Sus scrofa: one gene and its partner. The protein of the gene in region 1 interacts with the protein of each later gene in a pairwise test. Links are inferred from orthologs where the notes say so. Each region holds a gene or a part of one and is shown on either strand. Other genes may lie near its edges.

What was found. The genes of interacting proteins can lie anywhere in the genome.
Region 2: the proteins of melanoma-associated antigen B4-like (region 1) and MED21 interact in binary tests that used the Homo sapiens proteins (3 or more experiments, as listed by UniProt). The two-hybrid records come from large-scale screens. The link is inferred for Sus scrofa from reciprocal best matches to the Homo sapiens genes MAGEB4 and MED21.

The regions. Positions count from the first base shown.
Region 1 is NC_010461.5:25,894,361-25,898,111, forward strand, and holds the start of melanoma-associated antigen B4-like, read left to right. Parts: upstream 1-1,063; 5' UTR 1,064-1,184; intron 1,185-3,751.
Region 2 is NC_010447.5:46,734,063-46,737,813, forward strand, and holds the start of MED21 (mediator of RNA polymerase II transcription subunit 21), read right to left. Parts: upstream 2,320-3,751; 5' UTR 2,304-2,319; coding exon 2,262-2,303; intron 1-2,261. UniProt on the Homo sapiens protein: Component of the Mediator complex, a coactivator involved in the regulated transcription of nearly all RNA polymerase II-dependent genes.

The DNA.
Region 1 (3,751 bases):
AATAATTTCTGTTCCCAATATATCAACACATACTTATGGTAATTCATTACCTGCTGAAGTTACTGGTTTTATGACTTGTCCTGTGCTCACTGCAAATAATTGCACAATTTGCACTAGTCATCACTTCTGCTTGGAAGTTCCTCTTCTCACTTTTCCATCTGTGAATGCCATATTCATCCGTTCTTTAATATCCAGCCCCAAACAGCTTTTATCTCTCCAATAAAGACTCTATTTTCCCTCTTCTGAGCTCCACAAGGACCAATCATTTGTGTGTGTTTGTCTCTTTATGCATTGGTCTCCTTGTCAGCAGGGTGACATTCATCTTATCACTAGCACCTAGCACAAAACTTGGCGCATACTCAGTGTTTCATTAGGGTGAGCTGTGTTGACTTGGGGGAAGTAGCTCAAGTGCATCTCCTCTGTGTGTGAAGAATGTTTTATAATAGAGTGATCACAAAAGACTCCATGCCCCTCACCCCCAAGGAAACTGAAGCACATCAGAAAGCAAACCCGGTCCATATCTTAGGAAAGGTTCTTCAGTGACACAATCTTGGAAGTGGAATTGGGCCGTCTTCTTCATGACATGAGCTGTGGCCTCTTGGTGCTGAGGACCCCATTGTTGACACAGCTAGCCATGTTTTCATTAATTTGAATCAAGAAGCCATTTGGCAGCGGAGTATTACTGACTCTGGCATACTAATTATGTTGGCACTTCCCCCCCTTTTCTGACCAAAGGGAAAAGGTTGTAAGGAGATTGCTGCAACGGAGGGAAGGAAAGCAATTCAGGAAAGGCCCCATACACAGCCCAAAACACAAGAATACACAGTTAAAAATACAAGAATATTTCACAGATTGCCGGATGTCATAATTCTTCTCCACCTGTCTGCAAGAGTTCAGTGCTAATCTTCTATTCAGTTTTGTGGGTGTTAATTTACATAGAGCAAATATAGGTGAGAGAGTTGAAATGATGGGTGCTAAAAATTTTAGTTCCTAGGCTGTGTTGTTGACTTTGACTAGGAAATCAAGATTTAACTGTGCCTCACTTTTTTTTTTCCACTTTAAGAAATAATCGTAATCCAAAACTAACATGGTAGCCAAAGTTCTGCAACAGCTATGGACTCAAAAGATGGCTAAAAATCCTCAATAGAAACTCTCCCGTAATTAAGCAGCACCCGGCAACACAGGTGAGAATTATTAAACACTACAAAATGATGCCAGTTCATTGAGGCAAGTATTGAAAAGGGTGGAATTAATCTACCCATTATTATACTGACTTATTTCATTGAGGCTGTGCCTATAAGGAACATTAAAGGTCAGGGGGTGTGGTGTTCACTGTGTATATAGCATAGGAGCTCTGTTGGATATCTGCTGTTTTCCTCTCTAGGTATGTGCTCTTTCCTTCCCTGTTACTTGACTGATGTCTCTGTAGGCCACATTGGCAGGGTTCCTGTACCTTCTGTCTTCTGGTTGGGTTTAACCTACAGGGAGCTCTGGGAGACTGAAGGGAGAAAGGAGAAAGAGAATAGGGTATTTATTCTCCACAATCCTTTCCTGCACCATTGCCTTGGGCTGGCTCTGTTTCTCAAATTATATTCTTGAGTTAGCCTACTCTACATAATTTTGTCATGTTCTGAGTTCCAATAACTTCTCCCTTGTTTCTTAGGACCTAGGGATGGTGACAAACTCCACTGTTACTAGCCTCAGGTTCTTGCCCTATATCTTGTGGTTCCACCTACACCTAAATTAATAGTTTGTACTTAGTAACTTTATCAACCCTCTATGAATTTTTTTAAATTCTAATATGTCATGTGTTTCTGACAAGACAAGGCAAGACTGACAGCAGTAAAGCTTTGTTGAATGAAGTATCCTCAAATAGCACAATAGAAGCTGGGGTATACAAATGTCATTATATGATACAGAAAACAAACTTTCTTCAATGAAGGTCAAAAGATGAAGCATAAACTGTGTCAGCCTTAAAAAAGAAAATGGGTTCCCTGTTATAAGTTTTAAAAGGTGAACAAAAGAACATGTAGGCAGCTCAGATCAATGTTATTTTACCAGTTTGTAGGATACAAGTTCTCAGAGCAGCTTCAAACATTATGCAGTTCTTAAGTACAATTGAAATTTTATAATATACCCACTTAAATCATTGTAATCATTTTCTGGATGAATAGTTCTTAGTGGATATAAGTACTCCTATATCTGATTAGAAAGACATATGTACAAGTATTCATTGTATTTTTGGCATTTTAGGTTGATTTAGCATTAAAAGATGGGGTTAATTGCCAAAAATCACCTAGTGATAAGACGGAAGAAGGATTTTACAAGCATAGCTCATTTTCTGAACAGTTTTACAATGTTGGAAAAATATATCTGTGTGAGTAGAAAATGTCAACTTCTACACTGACAGAAAGCAGCAAATCAAATCGCTCAGGCTTTAAGCAGAATAAGATTCTCCTTACATGATCTGGTGCTACATGTTTGAATAAAGTAAAACCTTCAGCAATCAGGAATCTTCATCTTCTTACAGTTTTTGAAAGTATCATTTTTATATTTATCAGATGCCTTAAGGAGTCCAAGTTCTTACAAATGAGAAAATATTTTTTTTTCTTTCATGATTCTCTCTCATTTTAGATAATGTATCTCTCTTTAAGTTTTTAAAATTAAACACATATATAGCATATTACCTGTAACTCTCAGTAATCTGGAAAAGTAAATCTGCATTTCTTAAAGATTCTTATGATTAGAGTAATGATGCAGCCACTCTATAGTCATATTACAATTATTACACAACTTTCTTACTTGGAAAACAGAACTTAAATTAGCATGCAAGAAATCATATTTTATGAATTATTAAATATGTGTCATTGGTGTTTTAAAATCAATACATATTATTTAGTTACATAAATCAATCAGACTATAGCTAACTTAGGTAACCAGTTATGTGCTGTTGAATCCATGGATTAAATAATTTAAAATGATAGAGTTATGCCAGCAGTGCCAGTAGAAAAACATTTTCTTTTTTTTGTCTTTTTTTTTGCCTTTTCTAGGGCTGTTCCCGTGACGTATGGAGGTTCCCAGGCTAGAGGTCCAATTGGAGCTGTAGCCACTGGCCTACTCCAGAGCCACAGCAACCGCTGGCCTACGCCAGAGCCACAGCAGTGCGGGATCCGAGCAACATCTGTGACCTACACCACAGCTCATGGGAGGGAATGCCGGATCCTTAATCCACTGAGCAAGGGCAGGGATCGAACCTGCAACCTCATGGTTCCTAGACAGATTCGTTAACCACTGCGCCACAACGGGAACTCCAGTAGAAAAACATTTTTAAAGCATCCGCTATGTTCCAGGTGCTTTTGAAGATTCATAACTAAAACATAGTCCTTAGCCTTAGAAAAATTGTAATCAAAAGGAACGGAGAAAGTATGCATGTGATTGAATAAAATATAAGTTGAAACATGATAAATTCCTTCATAGAAATTTTTTTTTGTCTTTTTAGGGCTGCACCCATGGCATATGGAAGTTCTCAGGCTAGGGGTTGAAGCTGCTGGTCTATGCCACAGCCACAGCCACTCCAGATCAAAACTGCATGTGTAACCTACACCACAGCTTATGGCAATGCTGGATCCTTAACCCACTGAGCAAGGCCAGGGATTGAACCTGCATCCTCATGGATACTAATCAGTTTATTAACCTGCTGAGCCACAGTGGGAACTCCCCCTTCAGAGAAATTTTTGAAAAAAAATGGTAC
Region 2 (3,751 bases), on another chromosome or scaffold:
TTGACTGCCATCATTAGAATGACAGAACTCAAAGTTAACTGTTTCCTTTAATACTTAATTTGTATTGAGAATCTTCTAGTCAACCAATCTACCTTCAGACTCTCAACTTTCATCTTCAAATCCTGTTAATACTACTACAAATCTTTACCTTTTCCTCCTCCATCGCGCTGCTGTTTTAGTTCAACCAATTACCTCACATAAGAGTTATTTACAATAGCCTCATGATTTTCTAGCTCACTATGTCATTTACTTAACCCTGCTCAAAAATCTTGAGCTCACCCTAGCATTGCCTTCAAGATAATCTCCAACTCTTTAAGGCTCTTTCCAAGCTTTCAATAATCTAGGTCAACTCAACTTGTTCATTACCTACTACTCTTTCATATTCCTGACTAGTGATAAATTCATTCCTGATAACACTGCATTTGCTCACATTTTGCAAATGTAAGGGAGTGGCCATAAGTGCTCTGAAGCTGTACAAATGTGGATTCTAATTCTGGCAAATAGAGTTTTAAAAGAAATTTTAAATTGGGAATATTCTCACATTACAGCATTGTTATGAGGAACAGAGAAAATACAAGAATATTCAACACTGTGACTATGTCCTTATGAAGCTCTCAAGATCCAGTTAGTCACCAAATATTTATCAAAAATCAACACTATGATATATCAACTGTATATAACTATATAAACATTCTAAGTTAGAGCGTGAACAAGACAGTTTCTGCTCTCATGAAGTTCTCAGAGGATAAAATTATATTTTAAAAATTTTACAATTATGAGTCAGAAAAACACTAAGACTCCCTCCTAACAGCACTCACTAGCCCACTTTACTTCAGCACTTACAGCTGAAAACACTCGATTCAACTCCCTAACCATATACTGCTTTTGTGTCATTTATTTAAATGTCTCTTGAGTATATGACGTCTTTCTAATCAGACTGCAAACTCCTTAAGGAGCATCTCTCCATAAACATTATAGTGCTTCTACACATACTAGTTAACCTAGAGGCTTCTTTGCAAAATCAGTATGCCTACTTTTGGAGTAAAGGCCATATTCACTTTGTTCTTACTATCCTTCTGGCCAGGAGACATGGATGACTATGCGATATTTCCCCTAAAATAACATTTCTATCAAGTAGCATCATTACAATTTGATTTTGTAAAACCTCAAAGGACTGTCTCCCCAAGGTAGGTTGTTCAGTAGTCCAGAAAAGTCACCAAAGGTAGAATTTACCTTGGTGAATTCATCGACATTTAGGGGCTGGCCCTCATAGGCAAAGTAGATCAGTTTTTAACATGCAGATTCACACTCAATATGTGTACATTCACACTTATTGCTCACGTACAAAGACTGAGCAATAACAAGAATGCCAGCCTATTTCCTTCTAGTGAGAAAAAAAACTAGCAAGAGGTACCTGGATTTTCCTGTCAACATCTATAGGCATCTTCTCTGGGACATCAAATTACAAACAGAATGAGAGAAATGTAACTACCGATAGAAAACAATTTAGCTCTTAACGGTAATAAGCATATGAATCCCTTGGTTTGCATCACTTTCACTTCACATAACAGGAAAAATAATCAGAAGGTTCAAAGTAAGAGGGCCAATTACAAGATCTGACTTTAATAGGGAGTAGAACTTTTGGCAGACATTTTTAAAAACTTAAAGAGACAAGGATCAGAAGATTCACTATCATAAAGATGTCAGTTTTCCCCAAACTTGACTTACGCTGGGGGAGTGGCCAAGAGATGCAACGACCCTTAGTCTACAGGAACCAACCGAGATGAAACAAAATTACTCACTTTACCGTCACTCCCGCCCCAACCTGAAAATTTGGGCGAAGGATTACTCTTCGCTAAGGTCCAATCCAATGGTTAAGAACACGGGTTTCCCTCCAAGGGTTAAAATGTATGGGTGCGGGAGGGAGTTTCCGCTTCCTCTCTCTTCCCCGCAAGAGGGGCGACCCCATAAGCACCGCTGACAAGAAAATAAAGCCGTTCCTAGAAAACATGACAAGGCCGTGAGGCTTGAGACTAGGCAGGGAGACCCTCCACCTCGCAGGCTGAGGCCGCGGGCTCCCGCAGCTCCGCACCATTCCACCGGCCGCCTCGGCCTCACAGACCGCGGCGCCGCCTCCCGCCGACCCGAGCGTGCGTTGCGGAAAGACGCTCCCCACTTCCAAGCTTGCCCCCCAAGTCCCTTTTTCTAACTTGCTTTCCCTCAGGAAAGAAGACGGAGACTAATCGAGTACAATTGCTCACCGAGTTCACGGCGTCCTGCAGCTGTGTCAGGCGATCCGCCATGTTTCTCCCCGCAAACAAAGAGACGCTAAAGCAGCTGCTCGGATGCAATTGGGCAGCTTTGGTAAGCGTCACGACCAATCACAGGGCTGAGTTCGTGGAGGGGGTGGAGTCAAGCCGAACTCCACTCCCCGCGCTAAGCGGCTGGGCTTTCCTAAGGCTTATTTTTGTTCAGACCAGCTGCACCTGGGGGAAGCTCCGCTGGGCCCACGTTTAGTAATTTGGGGGCTTCTGGGGTGAGCCAATGTACTTTCTCATGGCTTTTAAGTAAACACTTTGTGGAGACTGGATTCGCGGTTTTTCTAAGTAAGTTTCCCTATCCTCTTTGTATCTTTTTTTTTTTTTTTTTCTTCTTTTTTGAAGGGCCGCTCCTGGAAGTTCCCAGGCTAGAGGGTAGCTGCCAGCCTACAGCAAAACAGACACAGACACAGCCACAGCAAGGAGGGATCCGAGCTGCATCTGTGATCTACACCACAGCTCACTGCAGCTCAAGATCCTTAACCCCCTGAGTTAGGCCAGGGATCCAACCCGCAGCCTCATGGATACTAGCCCTGGTTTGTAACCTGCTGAGCCACAAGGTTTGTATCCATTTTTAAACATCACCTTGAATACCTATTTTACATTGCTTTGGCTTTCTAGGTAGACCACATGGCCTACACAATGAACAACTAAAGAATACTTGGGAGTTCCCACTGGTACAGTGGATTAAGAATCCGACTACAGTGGTTAGGGTCTTCCAAATCCCACTGGTTCAACAGCTTTAATCCCTGGCCCAGGGAACTTCCACATGCCTGTGCGGCCAAAAAAAAAAGGGGGTTTTTTTCTAAGTTTTACTATTTTCATGTAAATTTTATGAATTACTAGAGTCCACATGGATTACTCCTCTCTCCTTTTATGATTTCGACACTTTCACATATGCCTTTTCATGGGCTTTTCTTTTTTTTTTGTTTGTTTGTTTTGTCTTTTTGCCATTTCTTGGGCCGCTCCTGCGGCATATGGGGGTTCCCAGGCTAGGGGTCCAATCGGAGCTGTAGCCACCGGCCTACACCACAGCCACAGCAACGCGGGATCCGAGCCGCGTCTGCAACCTACACCACAATTCATGGCAACGCCGGATCGTTAACCCACTGAGCAAGTGGCAGGGATCGAACCCGCAACCTCATGGTTCCTAGTCGGATTCGTTAACCACTGGGCCACGACGGGAACTCCTCATGTGCTTTTCTTGAATCCCCAACTGGAGCATGTGGTTTTAAGAACAGGACCCAGTATTATGAATCTCATCTTTTAAACACCCACTTTTGGTAAGTATGTTCTTTTAAACTATATTATTAAAAGTTTCAGACATGTCCAAAAGTAGAGAGTACTATTGTGAACACTCATGCACCCATCTCCCAGCTTCAATTATCAACGCATAGCCAATCTTGTGGTACTTTGATTTTTAAAACCTGTAG